4 linked regions of the Rhinolophus ferrumequinum genome follow. Each later gene encodes a partner of the first gene's protein in a complex. Links are inferred from orthologs where the notes say so. Each region holds a gene or a part of one and is shown in the gene's direction. Other genes may lie near its edges.

Region 1 (8,320 bases):
CGTCTACTCCACTTCCCGGGGTTGTGGTCGGATACCAGCCGCGAAAACCGCGCCTCCTCCGCGCCGGGCGCTCCGCAGCTCTGGCGAGAAACAGGGGCAAGCTGCTGGGGGCTGCCAACCCCATCCACAGCAGCGCGGCGCCGCGCAGCCGCGAGACTCCCAGAGAGCCCGCCCACCCGTCCTCTGATTGGTTCACAAACTCCCGGAAACCCGGAGATGTACTTCAAAGAGTCGCCAGCGCTTTTGTACAATCGGCGCGCGAGACCAAGGCAGTCGTGGGGCCGGGTGGGGTGGCAGGAGCGGGCGCGGGGGGTGCGTCGCGCCTCTCGGGGCTTCCCTCATCTCGAGCATGTCCCGAGGCCCCGCGGAGATAAGAGTGCCGAGCGGGCCTGGACCCCGGCGCCGGCCTGTCTGTCGGGGCGCTGCGCTGACACTTATTTATCCTCCCGCCGCTCTTCCCCTTCCTGCCACAAGCCACTTCCCCTCCGAGCTGTTGCCCCAGGGAGATACTGCCGACCGTGCGTGACACCCGCCAAGACGGCGCCTTCCTGTTCCCGAGACGGGAACCGCAGGGTGTGGGCGGAGGAGGTCCTGGAGGCAGAAATCTTCCGTCCACCTTCACCGACACGGCCCATGACGTGTCAGGCGCTGGAATACCAAAGAATGAAGTTGACACTTACCCCACGGTGCCAGGCACTTTTGCATACTTTCTTTCTCATTGAATTCCCCAACAACCCATTTGACAGAAAGCACGCTCAAAGAAGTCGAGTAACTTGACCAGGTCACAGGGGTCCTAGATCTTGGAGTCCCGTATTTCCCCCCACAACTTTGTGCGGCTTCCAAACTGAACAGTTTCAATAAGAGGTGGTGAGCGGGAAAGACAGAAGCACGGGGCAGGAGAGGGTCAGCTCTGCTGGGGGTGAAAGGACCGGGAGGTGTGAGAGTGGGGACAGGATTATGTAAACCGAAACTCAAAGGGTGTGGGGGAGAGCAGTTGCCTTCCAGGCAATTGTTTTCCTCCTTCACTGATCTGTAAGCCTTTGGCGGTCAGGAGCTGTATGCCCAAAGTCTGCCTCCTAGAGGGTCCCTTATAAATAGTGGTAGAACAAAACTTTTTCAGTTTTTAAAATGTTTAAATACACAGAAAAATTTAAAGAGTGAAATAAACAACCACTGACCACCTAGAGTTAACAATCGGAATAATGTGTACAAACACTTTATAGCTTACAAAGCCTCTTGCTTAATATTACCATACTGCAAATGAAGTTCTCATTGGGGACCTATTCAGATCCCATTACTGGACTACCTCAACAGGTCAAGGTCACCCTTTGCATCCCACGTTGGGAAGCTGGCTTCCTCTCCCTCTGTCTCCATTCTGATTAGGAGGTTGCACGTTGTCCCAGAACCCCGTTTGCCCTCAGCACAGCTACAAGTATGTTTCTCAGTGGGAGGTTCATTGCCTGAAAATTCATTTAGAACTTTAGTGGTTAGCTCTTCAAAGTCTCAGATTTCTCCCTTAAAATTCAACATACTGGGGGGCAAGGGAGAGTTCATGTCACAATGGGATCCACTATTTTCAACTCCAGATTAACACAGGAACTCTTCCATGATTTTCCCAGCAATTCTTCCCATTTTCTCAATAGCAGATATGTATTATATTTAAATACTACTTTATAGACATCCTTTATCGTGATAGTTGGGTGGACAGGAATTATTGCACCTTAGAGGCTAAGCTAATTATAAAGTACTTTCTTACAACTATCTTTTTTCTTATTATAAATAGTAATACATATTGATTTAAAAATCCCAAATGATACAAAAATGAATGCAGTAAAAAGTGAAACCCTTGATGACCAGAAATGGAGTAAAGGCCAGGGTGACGCAGCTGTGTATTACGTGGGCATAAAAGCAGAGGTTGGAACCTTTGTACCAGTTGCACTGGATTTAGATTTATCATGTTATCCCCAAATAAGGGCACTCATACAATCACAGAGGAACAAGAAATAGGAGTTCATCAATACTCCACTTTAATTGTTAAAGATTTAAAATGCATCCCAATAGCTATCATCCTATTTTCACATTTCTTCATTTTAAAAACTCACTGGAATCTCAAAAAAATTAGAGTTTTGTAAGACTCTCTACACCTAGAAAGGACTTAGTAGCATCAAAACACTGCTCTCCAAGAAGTCTCTTTCTCCGAATTGCCCATTACAAAAGATGTCACTGCACTTGCAAAACAGCCTGCTGTAGACTGGAAAGTCCAGTTTCCTATCCACTTGTGGCATAGTGCTTTAGTCTCAGTTTAGAGGAGTTTCCTAGGTAGTCAAGACAGGCCTCAGGGACCCAAGAACACGAAAGACACTGCATGTCATTGCACAATTTCATCGTTTCTGCGTCAGCAGTGGGAGGGTGCCTGGGAGGTGGCTGTGCCGTTGCATTCCGGACTTTGATACAGGTTCTGGTCCCAGAGATACCCAGTCAACACCCTTCTAGCTCAACCTTAGAATTTCACAATCCAACATTTGCATAAGAAATGTGTATTTGGGTTCATCCCTTTTTTTAGGGAAGATGTGGGTTGCGGGTATTTTCTCAGCAGGATCCAGAGAACTGGGTATTATATCAGCTATTAAACCAAAAGCACTGAATCTCTGTAAAATACAAAGCACAATTGGACAATAAGATAAATTCAACCAACCAGAACTCATTGAAGTCTTGATCCCAGGCTGGTCACACATAGGGCTGTTTGTTCGGCCAACCATCAGAATGTTGTCACTGACTTGTGGGAGTTGTCAGTATGGCCCATTTTGATCCTCACTGGAGAGCTGAAAAAATGACATCCATAGTTAGTGATGCATAGTAAAATAAGAAATTATTATGCAGGGAGACAATATTGCAAAGTGGTTAACAGTAGGTTTGAATCCTGGCTCTGGGCAAGTCGCTAAGCTACTAATCCTGGGTGTAAATGGGGATGATGAATTCTGTCCTGAAGGGAGCTGCAGAAACTCTAGGAGATAATGGATATAAAGCAAGTGGTGCCTGGCTCAGAGCAAGCACTGTTAGAGGGTAACTGTATTACCAACAAAACATCTGTAAGCCAAAAATGTCATGAGAAATATAAAGTTTAAACCAGGATATGCAAATGATATCAACTAAGTGATAGAAATATCACCATTTGGTAACCACCATTGTAGCAATTGATTTAAGAAAGGATCCTCAATAGAAGCTAAAACCATGCGGTGAAATATTATGAGAGAATCAGACATTTCTACACAATCATGTTAATTAAGTACAGAGAAAAAAATGTCCTTTTATAATGGAGAGACCTTAGCATGTGTTAGATATACCCTCAAGCTAATAATGAGGAAACAATAACACAAAGCTAAATTGAGGGACATTCTGCTTGGAATGGACTTTTCAAAAAACTTGTCTGGAAAGGATTAAGGAAAAGGCAGGGGAAGTGTAAAAGTGTTCTAGATGAAAAGAGACTACGGAGACATAATAACTAAAAGCAACGCATGATCTCTGATTGGACCCTGTATTGAAAAAAAAAAAAGCTGTCAAGGACAATTGGGGAAATTTGATTTAACAACATTAAATTTCCTGAGTGTGATTACTGTATTCTGATTATTTAAAGTAATATATTTGTATCCTTGTTCTTAGTATTTATGGCACCTAGGGTATTTGGAGTGATTTGTGATAGTATTTTCAATTCATACCAAATGGTTCAGAAAAAACAGTGTGTGCCTGAAAGAATGGGGCGGGGAGGGAAGGAGAGGGAAGGAGAAAAGACTATCACCAAATACTGTAAAATGCAAAGAGTTGGTTAATCTAGGTAAAAGGTATATAAGTGTTCATTGTACTACTATGTTCCCAACTTTTCTGTAGGTTTGAAATTTCTCAAAACAAAAAGTTGGGGGGAAAATCAGAGTATAAAGAAAGACAGAAGCAGTTCTCTGAGGAAGAAGTCAGCTTACCCAAATACAACTTCCATGAGCTTTGGAGCCCCCTCTGGGGCCCTACACTGGGCTGTGAGCTCTGAAGGATGTCTATACCTTTTCCACCTTGTTTCTCCAGCATCCTGGCATGGTGTCCAGAATGTGTTCAGTAAATGTGTATGGATGAGTATCTTTTCCCAGGTAGGTTCACAGGAAGCCAGGGCACAGTCAGCTCTGGAAACAAACAGATCAGGATGGTGGTCCCAGGCATGGCATTATGAGGCCCTTGCTGGAAGTAGCAGACAACTGGAACTGCATCAACAGGGGCAACACCAGGGCTTCTCTCTTGGCAGTGCCCTTCTGGCCTTGCTTGCCTTCTTGGGCAGGGAACCACAAAGCTTGCAGGGCTGTATTTGCTGCTCCCCCCACCCCGCCCCCTGCCCTTCTCACCATTGGCTATGAAGTGTGAATTAAATCCCAATATTCTGGCAGAGAACAGTTGGCCAAAGGGGCTGACATGGTCCTCTCCAATGTGGGACCAGGGGCTCTGTTCCCACCCCTCACCCCCAAATTCTGGGAGGAGGAGAGAGGGAAGCATCTGACTGCCTGCCCAAGGATAAAAAGACCGGAATCCAATCCCAGACTCCCCTCACAGACTTACCCACCACTCTACAGTCCAGCCTTTGGAGATGAGAGCTGGGGCATTGGAGGGAAGGCATTGAGCCCTCCCAGCTGGAAAAGCTACAAAAATCTGCAAGAGAACACAAGCCAGCAGTGACACTCCTCAGTTCCACCAAATCACAGAGCATTTCCTGTGCCTTTTCCGTTATTTCACAAGCTGCCTCTTCTCACTTACCCCCGGGCTCCAGGACAGAGGGCTTCTTCTCCTCCCAGAAGCCAGATAGCTGGCTCCAGCCTCTTCTGGTCAACACCATGGCCAAGACCCCCAGTGACCATCTCTTACACTCACTGGAGGAGCTGGTGCCTTACGACTTTGAGAAGTTCAAGTTCAAGCTGCAGAATACCAGCCTGGAGAAGGAGCACCCCCGGATACCCAGGGGCCAGCTTCAGACAGCCAGACAAGTGAAGCTGGCCTCTCTGTTGGTCTCTCACTATGGGGAGAAGTGTGCTGTGCAGCTGACCCTGCAGGTTCTGAAAGCCATCAACCAGCATCTCCTGGCAGAGGAGCTCCACAGGGCGATTGACCAAGGTAAGTAGGCCCCATGACCCCTCCTCTACCATTGTAACGGCTGGGATGAGGTGGAAGGTGCAAGAACAAGTGCCTGTTCAGACCACGCACTTTGACTTGGGGGTTAGGAGTCCCAGATCAACCATGACGCTAGTGATTTTGACCAAGCAAGTCGCTTTCCCCGCTCTGGTCTTTGGAGACGGGTTAGTAAAGCTAAGCCTCCCAATGGCTTAAAAAACATTTTTTAAAAACGGTTGAAATTCTGACTCTGGGAAGGATCGGGAGAGGCAGGAGCTAGATGCCTGTTTGTACAGAATTCCTCACTTCATTTATGATTAATACTTGTGTACAAACAAGTATCTGGGTAAGCAAAAGGGCTTCCTAACCAATCACATTAATAGGGTTGACAGGTAATCTTCACATTGTTACCCACCTAATTTGTTTTGAGCTCTTTAACACATTTCACAAAGGCATTTTAGAATTCTCAAAAGAACTTTCTCCTTTCTTTTCTTTTCCTTCCTCCCTCCTAACCTCCCTCCTTACCTCTTATCCCTTTTTCTTTCTCTCCTTCCCTCTCTCCCTCTTTCTCTCATCTTTTCTTTTTATCCCTTCTTCCTTCCCTCTCCTGGTTCTTCTGCTGCCCTTTTGCTGTACTTTCTGATTTTATTACATTGTGATCAAAGAAATGTGGCCTACTCAATTTCTGCTTTTAAAGACTTTGAGGTTGGGGGTGGGGGGTAATACATGATCAGTTGAAAAAAATATTCTTTGGTGTCTGAATTTTTCTTCTATTTCTAAACTTTGACAATACATCAGAAATGCTTTTCACGTGTTTAAATGTGGTAGAACAGTTTAAATAACAAAAATTCTCTGTTCTTTCAAAGAGCAATAAGATTAAACCAACTCTAATCTGAGTCTGTAATAATTTGATGAATAGAATTTTTAAATTACTTTTTCATGTTTTAAAATCTGGTTATTAGCCCATCCAGGGTTTCTCATCAGTTCTTGAGCTAGTTTTGGTAACTTATGTTTTCCTAAAACACAAAGCCAACAGCAAAGTGTTTTAAACAACTTTAAAGTAATTTTATTCTTCTTTATTTTTTGTGTTTTGTCTTTTTCTTAAAGTAATTTTAATACAAGTTTCTTCAAACCAAATATTAAGGTGCTAATAATAGGTTATCTTCATTTCTTTGTTAGAGTAGTGGTTTTAAAATTATGTCCCAGGAAGATATTTCAGGGATTCTCTAGAATGTTAGCAAATACTTGATGCAAATGTTACTACTTTTTTAACTTAAAAAAGCTAATAAATTCGTATTAAAATGTATCATTAACCAAATTTTAAAATACTGAAGGCCACCAGTGTGACAGTTCGTGCTGTACTTGAACTCCTTATTATGTAGACCTTCGATAATATTAAGACTTTCCTGTCATTTCTGTTTAATTAACCAGTATCCTGAAATTTCAAAGCAAGCTGTTTTTTCAAAAAAATTACCATTTACACTTACTTACCTATGTGAATTAGGATTTTCTGCACCTCCTGAAACCAAAAGGAAAAAAAAGCAGAAATAATTTAGTTTCTGAAGTTTTAACTGTCCTTCATAACCCGATTTCAAATTTTTGCACCAATCAAACACCTTAGTTCTTTTTTCCCCAGTTTTATTAAGAAAAAAATTGACACATCACTATATAAGTTCAAGGCGTACAGCATGATGGTTTGATTTACACATATTGTGAAATGATTACCACATAGGTTCAGCTAACACACATCTTTTCCGACAGTGAGAGAACTCTTAGGATTTACTCTCTTAACACTTTCCAACATATCATACAGCAGTGTGGGAATTCTTTGAGGCCTTGCTTGAAGTTGAGTTTTCCAGAGAAAGGTCCATTTGCTCACTCTAATTACCTGGGGACAATGCTGCGTAGGACCCTCTTCAAATGAAATTAATCTCTTGAAGTTTTTTTGGACTGTATGAATAATGTGAATTTGCACTTGTGTTTACAAATCTTCAGGAGAGATTTTCTTTTTCTACTATATCTGATGCCAGATTGAGACAGGTACACATCCTTACTGTCCCTTTCTGTGTGGAAGGTTTTCTTTTTTTTCTTTAAAACTTTTAATTGGATTTTCAAACATACTCAAGAGTAAAGGGCACTATGAAGTGTCTCCCCATCACCCACCTTCAGTGATTACCACTATTTTGCCATGGATAATACAACTATTCTGCCCCTTGTTTACTACTGTAATTGAATTTTGTTTTCCCAGAGCATTTTGTTTATTTATTTTGAAATTGAAGTAACATTGGTTAATAACATCATGTTTCAAGTGTACAGCATTATAATTTGATACCTATATACACTACAGTGTGCTCATCACCAAAAGTCTAGTTTCCATCTGTTGATCCTTCTTTATTGAATTTTTTAATTAGTTTCTGGTGTACAAAACAACATAATGATTAGATATTTACACCCCTTACAAAGTGATTACCCCAACAAGTCTACTACCCATGTGACGTCGTACATGGCTATTACAATACCATTAACTATATTCCCTATGCTGTATTTTACATCCCATGACTATACATATATTTTTTAATTATAATTGACATTCAATATTACTTTATATTAGTTTCATTATTTTGTATTAGTTCAGTGCAGTGGTTAGACATTTATGTAATTTATGAAGTGATCCCAATAAGTCTGGTACCCATCTTACATTATTGACTGTTCCCCATACTGTATTTCACATCACTGTGACTATTTTGTGACTACCAAATTGTACTTCCTAATCCCTTCAACTTTCTCACCCATCTCCCCAACCCCCCTCCCATCTAGCAAACATCAGTTTGTTCTCTGTAGCTATATTTGTTTTGTTCATTTATTTTGTTCTTTAGATTCTGCATATAAGTGAGATCATATGGCATTTGTCTTTCTCAGTCTGACTTACTTCACTTAGCATAATATCCTGTAGGTCCATCCATGTTGTTGCAAATGGTTAAAATTTCCTTGTTTTTATGGCAGAGTAATACTCCATTGTACGTATGTGCCACAATTTCTTTATCCAATCGTCTATCGATGGACACTGGGTTGTTTCCATATTTTGGCTAATGTGAATAGCACTGCAGTCAACATAGGGTGTATATATATTCTTCAAATTAGTGTTTTGGATTTCTTTGGATGAATACCCAGGAGTGGA
Region 2 (7,784 bases), on another chromosome or scaffold:
TGGATATATACCCAGAAGTAGAATTGATGGTAGCGGATCCTTTTTTTTAACATTTTTTTAAATTAGTTTCAGGTGCATAAAACAATGTAATAGTTAGACATTTATCATTTATATCCCTCACACAGTGATAACCCCCTCCCCCATCTACTACTCCTCTGACATCGCACACAGCCGTTACATTTCCACTGTCTCTATTCTTAATGCTGTACTCCACTTCTTGTAAATATATATATATATATATATATATATATATTTTTTTTTTATAACTATAATTATAGTTGACATTCATTATTGTTCAGCTTCAGCTTCAGGTGTACAATGCAGTGATCAGGCATCTCCATCATCCCTGAGGTGGTGTCCAGCAGATCCTTTTTTAAATCAGTGAGCCATCCCCTTTCTTTCTAGGGGTTTAATATGATGCTAATTGTTTTTGTGGTTGAACTTAGTGGAAACTGCTATTCCTTCTCGCATTTACATGTCCCATCTGGGGTAAGTTTTCTTTATCTTCTTGGTGCACAGCCACCAGAAATTTCTTTAGACTGTTAGTGGTAAACTCAGTTTTCATTTATTTAAAAATGTATTTTTATAAAACTTTTGCTCTTGAAGAAAATAACTCTTCTGGGTATATGATTCTTTGTTTACAGATTTTCCCCCTTTTTAAAAACACTTTGAATCATTTCCAGTCTCTTCTGGTTTCCAGTATGGCTGTCGAGAAGTGTGATGCCAGTTTAGTTATGTTCATTTTTAGATGGTCTATGTTTTCTCTGTAGCCTTTGAGATTGTTTCTTTGTCGTGATTGTTCTGCAGTTTCACTAAGATGTATCTAGATGTGTATTTCTTCATATTTATCCTTCTTGGTATAAATAGTGATTCTTATATTCCTGGATTCTTTCTTGCCTTTCATCAACTTTTGAAAACTATCAGCCACTTTCTCCTCAAATATTTCTTGGCTCGCATTTTTTTTCCTCTTCTCTCCTTCTGGGAATCCAATTTGCTAATTGTTGGACTGCCTCAGTCTTTGCCTCTTAATTCTTCTATCTGCTTGTCTCTCTTTCTGTATCCTGGGGAACTTCTTCAGGTCCGTTCTAGCACGCTACTTCTCTCTTCAGCTGTATCTTCTGTTTGACCAAGCATTGCAATTTTAATTTTAATAGTTATATACAAATTTTTATTTTTTGTTGTTCTATTTTTTCCCTAAATCTATCTGGGCATTTTTTTTTAATACTCTCTTATGACTTATTCACTTTTTCTACTACATCTTTTATTCTTTAAACATTTCATGATAGCTTCTTTAGATTCTTCATCTGATTATTCCAAATTCTGAAGTCCTTAAAGATCTAAAACTGTTGATTATTGTTGCTGCTGACTCTCCTTCATAGTTATTTCAATCCTTGTATATTTAGTAATTTTTTGGTGAGTTTATATTTGGGTGAATTTAATCCAGAAGACTGGATTGAGGATGCTTTCCTCTAAGGCACTCAGTTTGCTTCTGCTGGACTCCAGGGGACATTAATAATCTGGGCCACTTAAAAGTTTCAGCTTATGGTTTATTCGATCAAAGGGAAAGAGAACAGGTCGCACATGGAAACTAACACTTTTATTCATTTTAACATCTAGTGCTACAGCCTAGACAGATTTCCTTGTAGGTTCCCTCCGCAAGCAAGTAGACTTTTTTCTTTCCAGTGAGAAAAACTGACTCTTTGATGGTCCCAGCTTTTCGGGGATGAGGGTGTCTCATATTTAGCTCTTCCATCTTTCTAGGCCCTAAGGCTTATGCTCTGGTTCTCCCCTAATTTCCCATACCCTTATCCAGTCCCCAAAGCTCTAGGTTTCTAGTTAGTTGAACTCTCTGCTTACTCACTATATACCTTTTGTTTTGTATTGTCTTATTTTGTTGATTTCAGGGGATGCCCTTGGGAGATTACCTTTATTTTAAGGGAGCTCACTAAGGAACTTTTAACATATGTGTTTGTTGTGTTTTATATAGCATTTAAGTATTCTGCTATGGGAGGCTTTTAAGAACTCAGTCATACTACTGGAAAAGAATTTTTAAAACAAACAGAAATGTGATTATGTGGTACATACGAGTTGTTTTATAACCCGTTTTTTTTCCATTTGATATACGATCAACACCTGTCATATAAATAAATATAGATCAAGAGCATCCTTTTAACAGCTACATAGTCTTCCATTGAATAATTCACTCAGTCTTTTTTATTATTGGATTTTAGGGTTCTATTTTTTACTATTTTAAATAACATTTCAGTTAATATCTTTATAACTAAATTTTTGTATACATTGTGATCTTCTGTCTTCTTTAACTGTTTATAAAAGTAATATATGCTAGTATAAAATATTCAAACACTATGGAAAATGAAAATTCTCCATAATCCTTTTTGCCATCACCTTAATACCATTTGGTCTATGAGTAAAATCTCTTAATCAAACAACAGATGAGAATTAGTTAAGGCTAGACTATCCGAGAAGAAAGACCACATCCTCTGCCCCCACCCCCACAACTAAGGATAGGGAACCAGAGTGTGTACTGGTGGGCTGAAGATAAGCAAAGATAATCAGGAGCAGAGAACTGAAGGAATGACAGACACCCAAATAGACTCCAAAAGCCTGGGATAGCTGGAGTCAGGGGCACCAGGCCTCAGAAAAGTTCAGAGCTTCAAAAATCTAGGAATCAACTTTGCCTTGCCAGTGCCAGCCTAGCAGAAGCAGAGGGTCTTCTCAGGCACTCACTGCAGACTCACATCCCTGCTTCCCCTTCTTCTAAAGGGGTTTGGTTTATTTTGAGTCAGAAAGCAGGACAGGCTCTGACTGTCCCCAACCCTGTGCTTCATAGTGGGTTACCCCTGATTCTCCGGATCTTGTCCCAATCTAAAGAAATCCAACCATAGAAACACTCCTCTAACACGTTTCAAGCGGAGCCCCAATGTTGAGCCCAGAGTCTTCTACCAAAGGAGAATCACGATAGGAATGGCTGACATCTCTGATGGCTCTTAGCTCCTGACTAGACTTTTTTTGAGGACCTGCTGCACTTGCCTTTATAGTCTGTGAGATACCACCACATCTCTGTAATAAAGTCTACTTCAGATGGATTCTGTCAACCGTGCTGGTGAGAGCCCCTAACCCATAAAGAAGCCCAAGCTCCTCTTTCCTCCCAGTGAGTGTAGAGCTCCAGCAGGGATGGTCAGAGATTTAAGGAAGCCCCAGAAGTTTCGGTTGTTTATTTATTAATTCAATTCAACAAATATTTATGGGTGCCTACCATAAATAGGCTTTTAAACAGACTACAATCGAAGAGTTCCCTAAATACCTCCAAAATCGCATGGATGGACTCCACCAGAATTCATGAGTTGGAGTCTAGAGTTCCTAGCTGCTCTAAAAAACACAGTTAACTGCTGGCCACTTGTTCTCCAACCAGCACAGTCCATGGAATACCGGACAGAATAAAAAGTGCACACCAAGAGGAGACCTTCCAGTGACAGCTGGCACACGACCCGCAGGGTTGGGTCTCCCCATGAAGGACTGAGTGCCCAGGGTTAGCTGTATCTAGCTCCCACAACCTCCAGCCATGGTCAGGCCTTGCACGGGTAAAATAACCTTTGTCTACCTTAAATCCTTAAGGTTCCCTAAGCTCCTGAGTTCTAAAAGGCCCTTGTCCAGAGCATGTGCTTGTGGGGAATGTATATCAACCAAGGAATTTGCATGGAGGAATTGGCATGGGGGAGAGAGCAAGGAGGGCCTGAGGTGTTCCCACTGCACATACACCGTGTCAGCAACCCCCTGGCTGGGCCAGTCATCTTGCTGATCCTATTGCCCTGGGAGTGGGTTTTGCCCTTGACAGCAGACAAGTCACTACCAATGCCAGGGCTTGCCTCAGCAAGAGCAGCTGTCAGGAGGAACTGGGCAGGAATACAGACAGGGACCCTTCATCACACCGTCGGACGCTTTACACCTTCCTCAGCCACCTTCACCACTAGCTGAATGGTACAGCCCTGAAGCCTATGTGAAAATAGGAAAGTTTACGGTGATGATAAGAAAGCCAGGCACTGAAGTCAGTTCCTCACTGGCTTGGGCGAGGTAAACTCTCAGTGCCTCCTTCTCCTCACCCACAAAAAAGTCATAAAAGCAGTACTTATGCCCTTAGGGTCGATGTGAGAGTTATATAAACTCATATATGTACCTGGCACATGACAAGCTTTACGGGAGTGTTAGCTATAATCTTAGGGCAGTTGGGGGAGAACTGAGCCCCAGTACCGTGCAATCCTCCTCAGCACCGTCGCATCCCTAGCCCGGGCCCGGCAGGTAGTGGAGCTGGGATTGCTGTGGGAAGAGGGAGAGGCGCCGGCGGGAGAAGGGAGTTGATTATGAGTTCCTGCAAGGTGAGGACTTCTGCCGGGACACCCTAAGTGCCCAGTGACATCTAACGGGCTGTGGCATGCAGCAGGTGCTTTAGGAAATAACTAGTTAGAAAAGATAAGCACTAAGCTTCCGTTCGGCCTACCCCCCCCCCGCCCCCCCCCGCCCCTTTGGGGCGGGACTGTAGAGGCGCCTGACGGACAAGGAAGTTGTTCAGCGCTGGTAGGGAGAGAGACCCGGGAAGCGGGAAGCGGAATCGGTGAGGTGGCCTAGAGATTGACCTGTCTCCCCACCCCCAACCCTCTCTGCCACAGACTCCACTCGGAGAAGTCACTCCATCCATGTGGACTCACACCTTCCAGACTGATGTCTAGCCACGAGTTATGGTGAGTAGAGAATGGGACACACAGGATGCCCCTCCGGCTAGCTCAGGGACTGCTTTGTGCCCTGCCAAGCCTGGGGGACAGTGGGGCCCACAGGGGAGGCTGTGGATTGTACCGACCCTGCTGAGTCATGGGGGTCACAGCAGAGAACAGTGCAGACTTGAAGCCATGGCCAGCTGGTGAATGAGGTCCCCTCTCCCAGGCCCAGTGGTGCCCCAGCCCCCCTGGTGTCCATCGAGGAATTAAAGAACCCGAAGTACATTGGTGAAGGTGGGTTTGGCACAGTGTTCTGCGCACAACACAAGTCGTGGGGTATTGATGTGGCGGTCAAGATCGTGAACTCGTGAGTGCCCCAGCTGCATGCAGGCAGGCCACTGTGCCGCAGGTCCTGAATGGGGAAGGGAGGGATCTGCCCAGCAGCAGAGCAGTGACTCCAACTCTCTCCTGGAGTATAGGAAGGTGATATGCAGGGAGGTAAAGGCCATGGCAAGTCTGCGTAACCAGCATGTGCTGCTCCTGCTGGGCGTCACTGAGAAGCTGGAGTGGGACAACTTGTCTGGGCCAGCTCTGGTGACCCCATTCATGGAGAATGGTTCCCTGGTAGAGCTGCTGCAGCCCCAGTGCCCTCGGCCCTGGCCGTTCCTCTGCCGCCTGCTGCAGGAGTTGGTGCTCGGGATGTGTTACCTGCACAGCCTGAACCCTGTGCTTCTGCACCGGGACCTGAAGCTCTCCAACGTCCTGCTGGACGCAGACCTACACGTCAAGGTCAGCTCATCCGCACCCCAGCCCAGTCTCTAAACAAGGTCATGCCCCAGAGCTGCTCCAGCCCCACCCATTGGACAAAGCACCTGCTGCAGCCCTGCCTACTGAATACCCTCAGCATTTCCCTCTGCACACAGGGCTGCCCAAATGTCAAGGCCCACCCAGCAGCCTTAGCCTCTGCCATACCAAGTGATAGAGCCCTGACTGACACAGTTACTTCTACTGTGGGGCTCACCCCACTAGGCCCTCCACAAAGACCCATGGCTGACAGCCCAGGAGACTCAGCCCTTAACCCAGTCCAATGGAGAGGGGACCCAGGCCTCCAAACCAAGGACCTCACTGATCCTACCATGCCCCTAACCCTCCACACCCCCTTTACATGGCTAGGCCTGCACCTTCTCGGGGAAAGAAGGGGATGCCTGGCCCTGTCCACCCCTTTCCTTCTCCTTTGCCCTTCCCTTTGCAGCTGGCAGATTTTGGCCTGTCCACATTTCTGGGAGGCTCAAGGTCAACAGCAGGATCTGGGAAATCAGGGGGCACCCTAGCCTACTTAGCCCCAGAACTGTTGGCTGATGTAAACCGGAAGGCCTCTACGGCCAGTGATGTCTACAGGTAAGGTACCCACACCAAACACACATCCCAATTTCTGCACCTCTCTGGGCCCTTCCAGAGGGAGGTATATGGGAGAGGAGTCTTGTCAGCAGTTGGGCCAGGCCTCAGTTTTGTGTCTCCTGCAGCTTCGGGATCCTATTGTGGGAAGTGCTAGCTGGAAAAGAAGCTGAAAGTAAGGCTTTAAGCAGACTCTGGGATCCTTAACCCCAGGTGCCCTCCTCCTGAAAGTCCCCAAACCCTCTTCTTCCTGCTTACTTGCTCAGACTGTCCTATTCCCTCCTCACCTTTTCTTGGACTGCACTCCCGCCACTTTCCATGATGGAGCAGGTGGCCCCTCATACCCTGAATGCTTTGTCTTCATGTCTCCCACCGCACCCCAGTAGTGCCCCAGATATCGCTGATGCAGAAAGCCGTGTGTGAGAGGCAGAACCGGCCCCCACTGACTGAGCTGCCCCAGCCCAGCCCTGAGACTCCTGGCTTAGAAGAACTGACGCAGTTAATGCAGGACTGCTGCAGCAATGAGCCCAAGGACAGGCCTTCATTCCAAGGTGAGCTGGCCATTTAGCTGGTAGCTGGGGCAGGCCTGGATCTGTCAGCAGGGTCTTTGCCTGGGAAAGAAGTTTCGCTCACCTGCCACCCACTCTGCTTTCTCTCCAGACTGCAGACGACATACTGAGAAAGCCCTCCACATGGTACAGAATACAGGTGTAACTGGTACAGAGATGGATGTTGCAGTGTCCACAGTGAGTGCCCAACACCAACCCACACACAAAGAGCCGGGCGGAGATAGCACCAGATGGCTCCTGTGGCCCCCCAGTGACTCCCCACTGACCACTGTTCTTTATGCCTTGAACCTCATCCCCACTCTCTCCACCCCACCCCTGAATTCCCAGGCAACAGATTATGGACCAAGAGACTCTTTCCTTGGGTTTACTCTGTCTCTCCCACCTCCACACCCAGCAAGGTCCCCCTGTCCTTGCAGGTGAAGAAGTTCCTGTCTGAGCACAGGAGGTTTTCTGCCTCTGAGCCAGGCCCAGGAGGGACAGAAATGGATGGCCCTAGGGAAACCCCAGAAAGCCTTGATTCCATGGTCTCTGAGATGCTAAACCTGAATCTGGAAGGTTTGCCCAGCTCTGTTTCTGAAAAATGTATAAACCTTCCTAAGAAGATAGAGGCACAGGGAGAACAGACTCAGCATGCCCAAACAGCAAGGATGTCTTCTGATTCAACAGTCCAACCTCCCCCAAATCTGGAGACCTCACTTTTCAGAAACCAGAAGCCCAGCCCCACCTCGACTTGGCCACCAGGTGCTAGACCCCAAGGGAATCAGGTGAGACTAGGGGATGCAAATCCTGTCCCCTTGCCAGGGAAACTTTGGGATCAAGGGGTTATGCCATGGAAACAGGCCCCAGGACAGAGAGCCTGAGAGTGCTGTGCTGTTGTTTACAGGGGGCTGGGAGAGGTGGCACCAACGGGCCTTCCAGGGAGCCAGAGCCAAATCCAATACCGAATCCTCCCAGGGAGTGGGGGCCAAATCCAATACCAGGTACCCACTCTCCATTCCTTCCTTTCCTCTGCTCAATTCTTCCACCAGCTTCATCCTCTAGTCCATATACAGATCGAGGGTACCTTGGGTAAGGAGAGAAAGAGAAAGGG
Region 3 (8,403 bases), on another chromosome or scaffold:
GGAAAGAGGGTCCATAGTAAGCTCTAAATAAATGTCAATTGCTGTTCAGTCACGACGTCCTTCAGGAAACATCCTTGCTTTGAATTTTAGAGTAGGGTACCCATTTAAAATGAAAAGAAGTAACAAGTGAAAATGTAAAAGTGTTTTGCTCTTGCCCCAACCCCTACCCCAAGCTCTGAAACAGCCACCCAGACTTACTCCCGGCCACAACCTGAGGGACTCCTGTGTCTTATGGGGTGTGTGCCCTCATTTCCTCATTTTACCTTCTGGGCATAGAAGTCTTAGCACCTCAGGCTTCCAGATGCCTTTGAAAATGTTTGAGTTCCAACATATAGGGGAGGAAAAAAAAGCATTGCAAAATCAGAATCAATGAATGTTTAATTAAAAGTCTAAAAACCTAATATTATGTCAAGTTCATTAACTGTTCCGTTTAGTCATCATAAAAATTTCATTACACTTAATTATATTTGAAACAAATTTATAGGTGAAATGGTCCCACTTTGCAAGAATTCCCAAGAATCCTGGACACTCAGTGGAGAATGTTTGGTCAATTGTAATTAAATGAATTTCTTGTAGGTAAATAATTCAGCAAACAAAATTATCACAAAATCATTTGATCATAAAAATAAAAGTTAGATGTGAATTGATTTCAATATATTTGTCGGGATGTGGAGAAGGGCTTTCCAAAAAGAATTGGTGGGGGAGGAAGAGTGTGAGAACTGCCCAGGGCTGGCCATGTCCCCTCTCCCTTTCAGGACCATCTCCTGCCACCTGCCACCTGCACACAGGGTCACTTTCCAAATCCCCATCTCTCCATGGATGAAAGTCCTCCTTTCCTTTGCCCCTGGGGAAAATTTCAAGTTTCTACCACAGCCTTCAATGCTCTGGCCCCTGTCCATCTCCCCAACTCACCTTCCACCCACCCAGGTCCCCTTTACTGGCCAGAGCTACAGGGAATGGTGGTGGATCGGGGACTCAGCCTAAGCCACCTGCCAATCCCTGGATTGGGCAGTGTGGCCTCTTCTGAAGCCGGAGTGGAAGGGGAGCCAGGAACCAGGGAGCGGGCCGTTCCCCTGCTCCCCGCCTCTGCCGTCCACGGACCCCAGCTTGCGCCCTGAGATAAAGAAGGCACAAAGAATTATTTGGTGAATGACCAGATGAATAAATGGGACTGCTCTGTCACCTCGGAGAGGCACCGCTGGAGACCACATAATGATGATAAGACTAGTTCCTGTTTATTGCACACGTACTACATGCTCAGTGCTCTGCTAGCACCTTTGGCACCTGATCTCTTCTAACCTTTGCAACAACCCCATGGTGTAGGTTCTGTTCTGAGGAAGAAGCTTTTCAGAGGGAGAAACTGGGCTCAGAAAGAGTAGGGACTCACTCCAGACACAGAGCTTAAAGGTGGGGTGCCAGGACCAGAGCCCTAGGTCTGTCTGACTCTAGTGGACACGGTGACCCATGGAGGCCGGCCGAGTTCTGCCTTGAAGGTGGTGAACAGCGCCAGGCAGGTCCTGCTGGGGCTGCCGCGGAGTCTGCTGCCTTCCACGCAGCACCTTCGCTTGGACTGTTTCACCCCCTCTGCCGATGGCTCTTGCAACCTTGACCCTGTCTCTCTCTGGCCACCTCTGGTTCTTTGACCTTTGCCCCTGACAAAGACACATTATTATCCACATTTGGTGCCTTCTGACCTTCCACTCCCACCCCTGAGGTGAATTCACAGAGGAAATGTCAAAAATAACATCCAGGCTGCCTGGTAGAACGGAGACTGCGGTTTGCCAATACAATGTGCAGTAAAAATATCTCTCTTTTAAAAGGGAGAGAGAGAAATTTAAAGACTTAAGATCAGTAACGTGCAATTATCATCTGGTTTGGGCGGAGACTTCTAATGGTTTCCAGAAAAACACAAGCTATGAAAATGGAGAGTGCATTCCAAAGCAAAAAGAGATGTGGGCTCCAGCAAACAGGGATGCCATCTTGGAACCTCTGTGGCCTTTGAGCTCCTTCCCAGACGGAGTACGAGGCACCAGCATCCTCACCTCCCTTCCTCTCCCCTTTTGCCTTCCACACTGGACAGAGCCTGGAAAGTGCTTCTGAACTCAGCCTTGGACCTGCTCAATACATAGGCCCCAGTGAACGACCATACCTAAAGGCACAAAGAAGATGTCCTCACTCCGTCTCTGGCGGGAACAACAGAGCCTTGCAATGGCAGGGACAGCCAGGTCTCCTCCAATATCTGTTGTCCCCTATTTTTTAAGTAATAAACCACCAATTTTAGCTGGGTGCCTTGTGATCCAGAATAACGACCATCTTCCCCAGCCTCCCTTGCCGGGACATGAAGCTAATGGAATGTGTGTGCAACTTGCAACTATTCTTAAAGGGGAGATACCTGTCCTTTTCCCTTTTCCTCCCTCCTGCTGGAAGGAATGCAGATGTGATGGCTGGAGCTTGAGCAGCCATCCTAGAGCATAAGGCCAACCTGCGAGTGAGGGCCATAAATGGCAGAGCAACAAAATAGAAGTGCCTGGGTCTCAATCCCGTGGTGTGCCAGGCCAAACCTGGACCGCCTACCAGGCTGTTAGAGGAGAAAGAAAGAAGCATCTAGACTGTTTAAGCCACTGATATTTGGGTTAAAAACAATCCTTATAGTCAAAATTACCTTGAAAATCTCTTAAATTGAGAAGAGAACACAAGATAATCTAAATCTTTAAAAGCGCGGGTCCCACCCAGTGTGGTGAGACGCTCTCAGCAGGTTCATGGCTTCCATGAATTCCAGACAGCTGTGGAATGCTCCAGGAGGGGCAACCCACCCACATTAAATTGTATTTTTTCTTCTCTCCCTCTTTATTTTTTATTTATTTACTTTTTTTGTCTAGGGCCTAAAGTTGTATTGTAAACATGTGTCACATTTTCTAACTTACGCAAATTTTGTGAGCACCAACTAAGTGTCATATAGATATGCTTTTTCTTATTTACCATCTCAGTTTTATAGTGAAAGAAACTGAGGCTCAGAGAGGTAGTGACCCACAGCTAGGGAGGAGCAGGTGGCAGCTCAGATCAGACCTGCCCTGGAGAAGAAGGTGAGGCAGCATCTTTGTCCAGGTGGCACCTCCCGGGGTACTTGGCCTTTCCAGCACAGTGGTTCCTGCTGCAGGTCCCTAAGGACCACTCAGACAGCCAGCGCTCCGCGTGGTTTCAGGATAGGAAAGAGAGACACTGGGGACAGGAAGGGACCCTCCAAACACTGCCCAGATGGCCAAGAGGGTGCCAGCCTTCACTGCTGAAGCACAAGTGGTACTTCCAGAAACCAAACTGACCCTCAGGATCAAGCTTGAGTCCCTCAGCCTGACCTGCAAGCCACCAGGCCAGGCACCTTCCACACAAAGAGATCAGCGGCACGCAGGGAACAAAGCAAGAAGCCTGAGCAGGAGCGGCCAGGGAGAAAGGGGGAGAAGCCGGGTGTCGGGCCAGACGGAGTCGGGGTTTCCCGGGGGTGGGGAGGGTGATAGGTGGGAGGTCCCCCCTCAGCCAGAGAGGACCAGGCAGAGGTGGGCCGGGGTGAGTGGGCGCCACCTGGTGGCCAGTCCGAGCACGGCGCCTCCCAAAGTCCACTGGGAGGCTCAGCGGGAGCCCCCTCCCCAAGGATGGGCGGCTCCACAGTCTTCCTCAACACCTGCAACTACCTCGCATTTAAAATTAATATTGTCAATTCATATGGAGATACACGCTTCTTCGGTTTTACATAAGACAGATACAAAAGCATTATTGTGGTTTCCTGTTTTTATTGTGTTGACCAAGACTTCCCCAACCTCACCCGCCAGGCGGATAACATCACCTGAACCGCCAGAGATTCAGATTTAACTGGTCTGGCTGTGGACTGGGTATCAGGACTTTCCCTGCTTGCTTAGCAAAGGCAGCTTGGAGACGAGCGTCCAGCACCCATTTATTTCCTCGCTGCTATCGCTGTTCCTAGGCCCTCCCTTTGCAGAAATGCTGAGCCACGGGTCCGCGGAGGGAACGCGGAAACCCACGAGCCCGCCTAGGCTACTGCACTGGGACTCTGAGCCCAGGGACTTCCGAGGCTGAGTTCTTCACCCGCTTGGGCTACCTCACACAGGCCTCTGTATAGGCCTGTTTCCCCTCCTATTACCTGAAAGACAACAGTGGCCCTGAACTGCTTGAGGGTCACCGGCCCGTTTGAAAATTTATGAAAAGCAATGGGTCCTTTTTCCAGAAACATGTGGGTGCCAACTGTGCTTATGACTGTAGATGGCACTGGTGGCTCTGATTTCTCAGCTGGATTAACCCCTTCATCCTCACCACGGCCTCCTCACTCAGGTAGCTGCTTTTACTAGTTTTACAGATGAGTAAATGGGGGCACAGAGAGGTTAAATAACTCACCCAAGGTCACACAGCCAGTAAATGGGTGGGGAGCTGGGTTAGGACCCAAGAATCTGTGGCCTTGGACAAGTGACCTCACCAATCTAAGCCTCGGTTTCCCCTCTGAGAAAAGAGGCCAGTACTAGTCTTTACTCGGTAGGTGAGCCAGAAGGGCACATGAGATTGGAAAACACACAGTAGCTGCTCATTAAGGACAGCTGTCATTTTGATACGCACACAATCTCCAGGCACCCACCCAGGAATCTTGGCCTGTGTGTTGGGGGGCGGGGTCAGGGTGGGCATCAATGGGCACCCGGCAGTTCGGGAAAACCCCCGGCCCCAGGGGATGCTCTAGTCTTGCCAAGCTCATCTCACCCCACCAAAGTCTAGTCAGAGGCTTCCTCTTGCTCAATACAGCTTTCGGTTTTGTTTCTTTCAAAAGCCACACACACCCGTTTCATTTTTCTTTTCCTCCACAAAGCTGATAAATGTGGGCAGGCTAGGCTTCTGTTTCCGTGATGTGAAGAGCTGACACCTGCCTGGTTGGAGCTGGCCTCCCTTCACAGCTGCCAGAAGCACCGGGCTCCACCACACGAGGACACCCAGCCCCACCTGGCTCACTCTCTCAAGGCCACAGTGCAGAAGCCTACAGCTGTCCCCCAGTCCCCCTGCCAAGCCACCCGGGATTTCCAGCAACTGCTGTCAGCATGGCCGAGGCCCCTGTGGACCCAAGTGAGACAGGTACTTTCTTCTTTCTAAGGAACAGCGGGAATCTGGGTGGGACTGGCACTTCTCTCTCTGGCTCCTTCGCTTGTCCCAGATGGCAGCAATGATAGCAACACACGTGCCATGCATTTTGCAATAACCTCAGCGGTAAGTACAAAGGTGTTTCCATTTCCCACGAGATCACCAAGCCCTGTGAGGTGAAAGGACTCAGAGCATCAGGCTGACGACAGGGCTAAGCACCTGGCTTCACACTCATTTCCAGAAAGAGCAGAAATTGCTTTGATTAGAAGTGCACATTTCCCCCGTTGTGTTCTTCCTCAGATAACACTCCCAGGAGGATACCAGCAGGGGTGAACCCTGTGCTCAGCCAGGTGGTGAACCATTGCTGCATTCTCCGGCCACCACTAGGGGCTTATGGGCTGTGGGCTGAGGGTGGTTTGGGGTGGAGGTGGGGGTGGGGTGTTGTTATCATTAGCTCATTTAATCCTCACCACAAGTTTTGAAGGAGCTGCTATTATCCCCACCTCACAGATGGAGAAACTGAGGCATAGAGAGTTCACACATCTAGTAGGTGGCAGAGCTGGGGCTCAAACCCAGGAAACCAGCCATCAGAGAACAAGAATGAGGAAAACAGGGTGTGCTGGGGAGGGGTGCTGGCAGGGTATGGCTCAGGTTCCTGTCCTACTTCCCCGTGGGGGACGGACACACGGGGACTGGTCAGTGGTGCTTAGGAACTGAATTTTCCTTCTTCCCCAGTGGGCTTTCCTCTCCTTACCAACTTGTTGCTTATACTTCTTCCATTTCACAACCTCCGGGATTTGTGGAAGGATCCCGCCCTTGGGGGATGGCCTTCATACACGTCTCTGACCTGACTCCTCCTTTGCCAGCAGGAAGGTGGAAGAGGGCAAGGAGGAGGCTCACCCTGGCAGGCTTTTCAAGAATCAAAACTCTTAAAAAAAAAAATCAAAACTCTTTTCAAGTCAAGGCAAAGCGAGATGTGTAGTGGGTTGGACGAGGATTTCTGGTGGCTGGGGTGGCTGCTCAGGGCCGAATGTGGTGGGTGAAGGGACCGGCGTCCCAGGTGTTCTAAGCGCACCTCACCTACGCGCAGCAAGGACAAACGCATTCTGACCACAAAGGGAAGCCACAGCGCCCAGCTGTAGAGCCAGCAGCTGAGTTGCCCCTCCCCCCAGAAAACCCCAGAAAGCAAAGGGTCGGATATGGCCACCGCCCTGGAAGGCAAGCCAGATCCACCCAAGAAGGGCCCTGCTTTGCATTACCCTTGGGGTTCTTGGGGGCACACACTTACTGATGACAGGCTGGGCTGCCACGCACAGCCGCTCTATCTTACAGGATCCTGTCCTCTCACTCCCCGCAGAGCAGCTGTCCCGGGTTTGTGGGATCCTGCCCGGGAGGAGCAGGGGCCCTTGGAGGGTTCCTCCTTGAGCCTCAAGGGATCCTGCTTAGGGTCGTTCATCTCAGGTGGGAAAACACAGACATGCTATCGGTCACCTGGGCCGACGTCTGTCCCAGTAGTGGATGAATCCACTCACTCACTCATTCACTCAGTCACTCATTCATTCCCGTGCCATTTCCTGAGAATCTACTGTGTGCCCGGCACTGCGCTAGACACCGAAGGTACAACAGTAAACCAGGCAATTCTGATGGGAGCTTCTTGGGGCAATTCTGTAGGGGACACACACACGTACAACACCCCGCCCGCTCAGGGCATCCAGGACAGCTTCCCAAAGGAGATGGTGTCTGAGTGAGACCTGCAGGGTGAGTAGACATCGGACAGGGGGAGGGGTGGGGAAACGTATTCCGGACAGGGAACAGCATGGGAAAAGGCCCAGGGGTGAGTGGGGCCGAAAAGAGCCCGGATGGGTTGGCACTTGGAAGGAAGTTGAGGGGGCAGTAAAGACCAGGCTGAGTGGTCAGCAGAGCCAGTTCTGGCTGCCAAGTCGAGGACTGGAGGGAACCTGACTGGAGTTGGACTTGCTGTCACTGTAGAGATGATGACACAGAATAGGGAGGTGGAAGCAGAGAAGAGAAGAAGGGATTCGAGAGAGCCGGAAACAGTATTTCCAGGACTCTGTGATTAGGCATCAGAGAGAGAGATCCGTTTCTGAATGTTGTGAGGTTGCTGGCTTGGGTGAATGTGACACCACCCATATGAGGATGGGAGCCCGGGAGGATTCTGCAGGGAGGCGGAGGCTGGGGTCAGGGCACAGAGGCATGCCTCCCAGGCGGTCACTCCGCCTCACTGCCCTGCCCTCTCTCCCCTCCCTCCTGCTCTCCTACCCTCACTCTCCTCATCCTGCCCCTGCCACTTCCCTCTCCTTTGAGGACACCTGAGAGCTGAGCGTCCACCTGCCCTCCAGGGATTGCTCACAGGGGGCAGAGGACCCGCGAAAGGCCTGGGTGCCTCGTCTGGCCACCAGGCCGTCTGGCCAAAGTCATTTCTGACCAGCCCATGTGCCCCTCACTGAACGAGGGTGGTGTTGGCAGATGTGTGCTCAGGCCTCTGCCCTGGATCCCTCTCACGGAGCTTCCCCTGCCCGCCGAGCCTCCAGCCCAGGCTCCGTTGTGGGGCCCTCAGTTCTCTCTCTGCCCCTCTCGCCTCTCCTAGACCTTGAGCAAAGCATCCTGCGGGTACTGAGGGAGGCTGGCTCCCCTGTGAAGACTGCCCAGCTGGTAAAGGAATGCCAAGTGCCCAAGAAGAAACTCAACCAAGTCATCTACCGGCTGAAGGCAGAGTCGCAGGTGGCCCTCGTAGGCCCCGGAACGTGGTGCTTGGGCGACGGTGGGACTGGAGAAGTGGTTCCTGCAGAAGGGGCCCAGCCCAGCCAGGGTAACCCACCATCCTGGGGGGGGGGGCCGGTTCAGACCAGGTAGGAGCAGTTCTGGCACTGGACAAGCTCGGATTTGGGCCTGCGTTTGAACACAGTCGCTGCCCTTCAGGGGTGCGTGATGTCCCCTCACCGTGCCTTGGTTTCTTTTTCTGGCCAATGGAAATAACACTAAGGCTTCTTCACAGAGTTGCGAGAGGATTAGATGCAAAGGGTCAGCCTAGTGCCGTCACATAGTAGGTGCTCCGCAAAACGTCAATAACAACAACAGAAAATAGTGATGATGATAACAGAAACAATGGCAATAACAGAACACTTAACATCACATTAGATCCTCTTTTCTAGTTCTGTAGCCCACAGACCGGAAGCACCGACATTTATCAGGTACTTACACTGGGCCGGCGCGGTGCCCACGGTTCACCTAGATGGTGTTAGATGGTAGTCT
Region 4 (7,769 bases), on another chromosome or scaffold:
TATGAGGGTAAAATATCAGCAATAAACCTGACCCTGCTGCAGGGTCTGACAGGAACGTTGGAAACAAAACCATTGTTATCTTTTTTAGACACACTTAACTTCTGTCTTCCACGTGAACTTCAGGCCAAAAGTCTCCTATGTATTATTCACCCCCAAAGTGATGTGTTCCCTGCGTTTTACACTATCAACTGCATTATGTGTTTTTACTCATTAAAGTTAAAAATATTTAATTTTATGATTTGTTCTTCCTATGGCATTGTAAACAAATAGATTTGTTTTAAAATGTGTTCCTGTTATGTGGCTAACTCTTTGACTTTGTAATGAGAAAATAGAGAGCATCAGAGCTTCATATACCCATAAACTTCAAAAGAACAAATTGATTCATTTTATATCTCAATGTCTAAAGAGAAAGAAATGCAGCTTTGGTTTTTAGTTAAACTTTAAATGTTCGACCATTCTTGAATTTATTCTTTTAAAGTTTTTAAACTGGATATGCCAGCTTTGTTTTTACATTGGAACTCAAAGTTAATGTTTCTTATCACTTCATTTGAAAACCAGTAATTCATTTACTCTTGCCCCAAACTACACACTAATATTTCTGATATATTAACAAAATAGAATTAAATAGGAGAAGGTGGAGGAACTGAAATTCAGACCACTCCTACTCGTAGCACTAATCAAAACTTAATACGTCCTCATTTATTCAAAGTGAGCTTATTCTGATTTTTGATTGATTTTTAAAACCACAACTTAAGAAATAACAATCAGAGTACCCAAACACTGCCCTTTCCCTTACGGAGAACAGTCTCCAGTAAAAGCTGCATATAACAAGCAATAACTGAATTGAATGGTTGTATACTATTCATGAAACGTTTTTTAAGACTTGTATATGAATTGCTTTTTACAAACTCTGTATAGATTTTAAAAGGCTGGAACTACTCTTACATGGACTAGACTGTATTTTTGACCTATACATATTTTTGTAACTTGAAAAAAAAATTGCCTTGTTTTTTCAAAAAAAAAAAAGCCCTTATGCAGTTATGGAACAGAAAAATACGTTTTTTCCCAGCTAATTTGGTGAGGTGTACATAGCCTTGAATCCACAAGCACAATGCAGTCAGGGCCCTGAGTTCATTGGGTCAAACATTTAAATTTAAAAAATAAACAAATAAAACAAACAAATTGATTGAATTTCTTATCTCTGTGTGCGAAAGACCTATCCAAGCTTAAAAGGAGTTAGAGAAATTGACAAAGGAATATAGAAAAAAATGATATGAAGATGAAGTATTTTGGTATACCTCACTATTGACCAAATAGAGATCAATACTAGAAATAAAATAGATATGCTTGAATATCCAATAATTTAAAAACACACCCACTCTCTCTCTCTCTCTCACAAATAAAGCAAAAGAAAACAACAGAGTTGGAAAAATATATGTGCTAAAAGAAAAATAAAAGCTGAAGAACTCTATATCAAGAATTCTTCTACCCAAAAAATCTGAAAACATCTACACACAAAGACACGTGTGCTCCAATGTTCATTGCAGCTTTGTTTACGGTGGCCAAGACATGGAAACAACCAAAATGTCCTTTGATAGATGATTGGAAAGAAGTTGTGGTATATATACACAAAGGAATATTATTTGGCGGTAAGAAAAGATGATATAGAAACATTTGTGACAACATGGATGGATCTTGAGAATATAATGCTAAGCGAAATAAGTCAGAGAGAAAAAGCAGAGAACCATATGATTTCACTGATAAGTGGTATATAAACCAAAAACAACAAAAGAACAAGACAAACAAATGAGAAACAAGAACTCATAAACACAGACAATAATTTACTGGTTACCAGAGGGTAAGGGGGATGGGGGTGGGAGATGAGGGTAAGGGGGATCAAATATATGGTGATGGAAGGAGAACTGACTCCGGGTGGTAAACACACAATGAGATTTATAGATGATGTAATACAGAATTGTACACCTGAAATCTATGTAATTTTACTAACAATTGTCACCCCAATAAATTTTTTAAAAAAAAGAATTCTTATACATTAAAAGGCCAGTACCCCATATCCATTTTATAAGTGACAAAAATAGATAAACAGTCAATTTATACACAAGAAAATTTCTGTTACTGAAGCAGTTATGGAACATAGAAAAAGACATGTCACCAACTAATTTGGTGAGGTGCACATAGTCCTGAATCCACAAGCACAATGCAGGCAATTTATTTTTAAGAAACTTAGACTGTGTAAGAAATCCTATAATCATCTCAAAAGATTCTGGGGGAAAAATGTTTTTATAATTTAACACCCCTTCCTTATTTTAAAAAAATGCTAGGGAGCTAAGATGGAAGGAAAGTGCTAAAATGGAAAGAAGGTAGATAAAAACATCTACCAGAAACCTAAATTAAAATTCATACTCATTAGGGAGACTTTGTAAGCATTCTCATTAAACTCAAAAACATGATAAAGTTGTCTGTTAGTAATGCTATTGTTCCACACTGTTCTGGGGAACCGCCCCAATTTAATAAGTCAGACAACTTAACAAGTTACTTTCACATGTATATCTGATGTGGGGAGGGCAGCTTACCTGTGAGGTTGACCAGGTAAAGCTTTTGTAATTGCCGATGTGTGGGCCTGAAAGATCACACATAGGATTTTGGCCTGGAGCCAGACTCTCAACTTCATCCTTTCAATTTTCAGAGTCCAAGGGAAATACATAGGCTACCTGATCACGGACCATAATGGGACTCTGAGGGACTGTGTCAAGAACCAGGTAATTAGTCTGAGATCATAATTAATATCACTCCAAGTAGGATGATTAGACCTGCCTGGAGGGTTGAACATAACCATGAGCCCCAAAGATTGCCAGGTCAGGAAAAGAAGTCTGATAGTCCATCTGGGTCTACTTCAGAGATCCAGGAGGCTTTCTATCTAAGCCTGGTGATGGATTGTTTTGTTTTGCCAGCCTCATTGATCCAGGTACAACACAATGTGTCAGCAATTGCACAGACCCCACCTTGGCTGGCCGCTGGAAGTTGAGGGCTATTGCAGGTATTCAACACTACTTGGGCCAAGGAACTGAGGCTGATCTGTTGTGCCTTCAAAGCTAAAGTAGTGCCATGAATGACCTCAGCAAGAGTCAAAGACAGGTTGTCTTTCTAACTGAGGGAACCCAACAGTGGAAATAATTACCTGGAGTTGGTAATGCCCCTAGTAATTCTCCTGAATAACCGGGGTCCCCCTGGTCTTGGAGTTCCCATCTTACTCAGTGTAGTGCAATATGCTCAATGGGTGGGACTGTTTTGAATATTTGGAAGTCTCTTACTAATGCCCCCTATATATGGATTACATGAATGCCCCATATATATGCATTACATTGCTAGGAGGAAGGCAGGTGAAGGCCTGTGTTTACAAAAGAAATAACAATCCAAAGGGGCCCACATAATGCTTAGAGTGTAAGAGTCATTGCTACCATGGGACTCTATCAGCCAGAAGTCACTCCCAGTGGGCAGGGTCCTTGAGTGGAACTGAAAAGTCTGTGTAAAGTGGGGGCAAGTGTAGGGGAGGAGACGGCCTTCGCTACTGAGGTCAAAATCGCCCTGATGGTGGATCCCATTCCCCCTGTTGAGATGTTCCAACTGCCCTGGTCTGACAGGAACAAGTTGACACCTAGGAAGGCGTTTGCTCTTGCATTGTCAGAGTCCAACTGTGGCAGCACATTGGATCTAGAATAATAAGGTTGGGGTCGCTGAGGTACCAGAAAGGTCCATGTTTAGAGAAATGCCCATTTGTAGTATTTAGCAGCAGCACAATCAGCTGTTTATCTGTGGGGTCAGGTAGGGGGTGACACCTCCAGCAGTTTGTCAAATACAGGGCAGGGGCAACTTCCGGAACTGGGTGATGTCAAAGTCACACAGGCTTCTCTGTGGGAGAGAGGTTAGATCGCCACTTCTCCGTTTCCCATGACCAAGCTCACAGGTTCAAAGCTGCTCACATCCCGTCAGTTGGAGGGACTTCTCCCCATCAACTGTGGGCAGTCTCTTCTGTACCATGAGAAAGGATAGCACCTTTCATCCATTACTCAAGGTGGTGAACCCTTATCGTCTGCCTTGGATCCTCTTGTAACTCAATAAAGTCCCAACTAGAATGAATGAATGTCCTAACTAGAATCCTGGAAAAATAGATGTCCTAAATGAAAAAAAGAGCACACCATCATGCACTCCTTAAATACTGAACTGAAAGTGATCTTAGAAGTTTTCTAGATTTTCTAACTTCCTTCTTTTGGAATGTAGAAATTGGACGGAGAGCTAAATTGAACTGCCCAGATTCAAGTCTGGGTAACTTATGCTCTGACCTGTGCTCTCTCCATGCCGTAAAATGGCCTGTCATGCGAGCACGATACAGAAAACCTTGTATTTCATTTTCTGCTTAGAGCCCCACCCTCTCACACTGACTTGCTGAATCTGTTCCGCCTGTGGAAATTCCAGAAGTTGCACTCACAGGAGCGCTAGCAAAATGCCCTTCATTTGACTTTCATTATATTTTTGGAGGCGTTTCTTGGCAAGAACACATTCCAGAAAGAAGCATCTGTATTTACCTTTTGATAAATTTATTTAGAATTTTAAGAAGGAATCAGCTTGTTTCTGGAATTGTCTAGGCTGGTGGCCACTTGGATATCCAGGTAATACTTTTCTTTTAACTTAATATATATAAATTTCAGTTTCTCTTGCAATAAACCAAGAGCACATTTGGGACGTTGAAACTTTCAGGCTGGAGATCCTTCCTCTTGGCTCCATTCTTTCCCCTCAGCTCTGCCTTTTGCCAGGGATGGCTGGATTTCGCAGAATTTCCACTAGCACAATGTATTAATGAATAACAGCCTCGACTTTTGAGCTCCAAACACCCTACTTCCTTAGTCATGGTAACTGATTCTCTCTTTTCTACTCTAAATAATTAACAAGATAAAGAAAAATATCCAGAACAATATAATAGGAAATGCAGGGCAAGAAAATCATGGGGAACCTTACCTTATGGGTTGACCATGCTGGCTTGCATGAAGATCCTGCTTAATGGAGCTCTGGTGTGTAGCAGCTTGTGTGCTGAGTGAGTGTTTCATCAGATTGGGTGGGGACGTGGCTGATTGAGGCGGCTAAAGTGGCAACCTTATCAGTTTAGGTTTTCAGCCTGAGTCTTTCAGTTAATATTCACTTCAAAACAAGAGGCAAATTTTCCCTCAGAAAATCATTTGAAGGCTTTTCACTTTGGAGGTGTGGATTCATGATATTGAAGGAGCTGGAATGCAGAGGAGACGCCATTCTGTGATTGGCAATGTCGTTAACATTTCTTCTTCTGTTCTCTGGCCTGCCTTTTTACTCTCTTAATGGTATCATCTTCTGAACAGAAGCTCTTAATTCTAATACAGCCCAGCTGATCGTTCTTTCCCTTATGGTTAACTCTTTTTGTTTCCTATTTAAGAATCTTTGTTTACTTTAACATCATGAAAATGTTCTCTTAGGTTTTCTTATAAAAGTTTTGTTTCTTTCCTTTTTATATTTAGGTTTATGATCCATCTGGATTTGAATTTTCTGTACGTAGGAGATAAAGGTTTATTTTATTTATTTATTTATTTATTTATTTATTTATTTATTTAAACAGGACTTTATTGGGGAACAGTGTGTACTTACAGGCCTTTTTTCCAAGTCAAGTTGTTGTCCTTTCAATCTTAGTTGTGAAGGGTGCAGCTCAGCTCCAGGTCCAGTTGCCATTACTAGTTGCAGGGGGCGCAGCCCACCATCCCTTGCTGGAGTCGAACAGGCACCTTGTGGTTGAGAGGACGCGCTCCAACTAACTGAGCCAGCAGGGAGCTCAGCGGCAGCTCAGCTCAAGGTGCCATGTTCAATTTTAGTTGCAGGGGGCGCTGTCCACCATCCCTTGCGGGAGTGGAGGAATTGAACTGGAAACCTTGTGGTTGAGAGCCCGCGCTCCAACCAACTGAGCCATCTGGGAGGCAGCTCAGCTCAAGGTACCGTGTTCAATCTTAGTTGCAGGGGACGGAGCCCACTATCCCTTGCGCGACTCGAGGAATTGAACTGGCAACCTTGTGGTTGAGAGCCCACTGACCCATGTGGGAATCGAACTGGCAGCCTTTGGAGTTAGGAGCATGGAGCTCCAACCACCTGAGCCACCTGGCCGGCCCAAGGTTCATTTTATTTTTATTTCTTTTTTAAATTTAATTGGGGGATATTGGGGAACAGTGTTTCTCCAGGCCCCATCAGCTCCAAGTCGTTTTGTCCTTCAATCTAGTTGTGGAGGGAGCAGCTCAGCTCCAAGTCCAGTAGCTGTTTTCAATCTCTAGTTGCAGGAGGCGCAGCACACCATCCCATGCAGGAATTGAACCCGCCACCTTGTTGTTAAGAGCTTACACTCTAACCAGCTAAGCCATCTGGCTGCCCCTCCAGAAGCTCAGCTTTCTGCTCATTGTCTTCAATCTGGTTGTGGAGGGTGCAGGCCACTGGCCCATGTGGAAATTGAACCGGCAACCCTGTTGTTCAGAGTTCGTGCTTTAACCAACTGAGACAGCGGGCCACCCCCAGTTCATTTTATTTTTATATGTTACTATTTATCATAAAGATCATCTTTTTTTTTTCATTTCAATGCAGTGTCATCTTTATCCATTAATCAGGTGATATTATATGTGTGAGAGTTGGTTTTTTTAAGTAACAGACTTTATTTTTTAGACTAGTTTTAGATTCACAGAAAAGTTGAGCAGAAAGTAGAGTTCCCATATCCTCTCTCCTTGAACTTTCCTCTATTATTAACATCTTGCATTAGTCTGGTACATTTGTTGCAATTGATGAACCAATATTAACACATTATTATTATTAGTTAAAGTCAATAGTTTACATTAGAATTTACTGTTTGCATTGTACAGTTGTCCTGTGCTCATGTCATGTGTCCACCATTACAGTGTCATACAGAATACGGTTTCACTGCCCTAAAAATCTCTTGTGTTCCACCTACTTACCCTACCTCTCCAACCTCTGGCAACCACTAATCTTTTTACTGTCTCTGTAGTTTTGCCTTTTCTAGATGTCATATAGTTGGAGTCATATAACACGTAGCCTTTTCAGACTGGCTTCTTTCACTTAGTAATATGTGTTTCAGGCTCCTCCATATCTTTTCACAGCTTGATAGTTCATTTCTTTTTAGTGCTAAATAATATTCTATGGTATGGTTGTACCACAGTTTATTCATCCATTCACCTACTGAAAGACATCTTGGTTGCTTCCAAGTTTTGGCAATTATGAATAAAGCTGCTATAAACGTTCATGTGCAGGATTTTTGTGTGTAGACATAAAATTTCAACTCTTTTGGGTTAAGAGTCTTGGTTTACTGGGAGCATAATTTCTGGATTATATGGTAAAAGTATGTTTAATTTACCAAACTGTCAAAGTGGAGTACCATTTTGCACTCCCACCAGCAATGTGTGAGAGTTTCTGTCACTCCACATTCTCACCAGCATATGGTTTTGTCCGTGTTTTGAATTTTATTGCATCTAGAAGATGTATGGTGATGTTTCAGCATTGTTTTAATTTTCAGTTCCCTAATAACGTGTTGTTGAGCACTTTTTATATGCCTTTTTTGCCATCTGTATATTTTTTTCATGAGGTGTCTGTTCAGATGTTTTACCCACTTTATAAAAGGGGTGTTGTTTTCTAACTGTTGTGTTTTTAAAATTCTTTGTTTGTTTCGGATTTTATCA

What was found.
Region 2: MEFV (region 1) and RIPK3 share a complex: the UniProt entries of both Homo sapiens proteins name them as parts of the AIM2 PANoptosome complex. The link is inferred for Rhinolophus ferrumequinum from reciprocal best matches to the Homo sapiens genes MEFV and RIPK3.
Region 3: MEFV (region 1) and ZBP1 share a complex: the UniProt entries of both Homo sapiens proteins name them as parts of the AIM2 PANoptosome complex. The link is inferred for Rhinolophus ferrumequinum from reciprocal best matches to the Homo sapiens genes MEFV and ZBP1.
Region 4: MEFV (region 1) and CASP8 share a complex: the UniProt entries of both Homo sapiens proteins name them as parts of the AIM2 PANoptosome complex. The link is inferred for Rhinolophus ferrumequinum from reciprocal best matches to the Homo sapiens genes MEFV and CASP8.

What each region holds. Positions count from the first base shown.
Region 1 is NW_022680357.1:4,725,177-4,733,496, reverse strand, and holds the start of MEFV (pyrin), read left to right. Parts: upstream 1-4,785; 5' UTR 4,786-4,868; coding exon 4,869-5,145; intron 5,146-6,633; exon of another isoform or gene 6,634-6,664; intron 6,665-8,320. UniProt on the Homo sapiens protein: Involved in the regulation of innate immunity and the inflammatory response in response to IFNG/IFN-gamma.
Region 2 is NC_046289.1:74,475,672-74,483,455, reverse strand, and holds the start of RIPK3 (receptor-interacting serine/threonine-protein kinase 3), read left to right. Parts: upstream 1-4,554; 5' UTR 4,555-4,593; intron 4,594-4,685; 5' UTR 4,686-4,737; coding exon 4,738-4,757; intron 4,758-4,956; coding exon 4,957-5,097; intron 5,098-5,209; coding exon 5,210-5,519; intron 5,520-5,982; coding exon 5,983-6,128; intron 6,129-6,253; coding exon 6,254-6,300; intron 6,301-6,508; coding exon 6,509-6,676; intron 6,677-6,785; coding exon 6,786-6,871; intron 6,872-7,110; coding exon 7,111-7,458; intron 7,459-7,577; coding exon 7,578-7,674; intron 7,675-7,784. UniProt on the Homo sapiens protein: Serine/threonine-protein kinase that activates necroptosis and apoptosis, two parallel forms of cell death. Necroptosis, a programmed cell death process in response to death-inducing TNF-alpha family members, is triggered by RIPK3 following activation by ZBP1.
Region 3 is NC_046306.1:4,310,761-4,319,163, forward strand, and holds the start of ZBP1 (Z-DNA-binding protein 1), read left to right. Parts: upstream 1-4,849; 5' UTR 4,850-5,090; coding exon 5,091-5,124; intron 5,125-7,738; coding exon 7,739-7,960; intron 7,961-8,403.
Region 4 is NC_046291.1:30,096,106-30,103,874, reverse strand, and holds the start of CASP8 (caspase-8), read left to right. Parts: upstream 1-4,593; 5' UTR 4,594-4,688; intron 4,689-5,034; exon of another isoform or gene 5,035-5,119; intron 5,120-7,769. UniProt on the Homo sapiens protein: Thiol protease that plays a key role in programmed cell death by acting as a molecular switch for apoptosis, necroptosis and pyroptosis, and is required to prevent tissue damage during embryonic development and adulthood.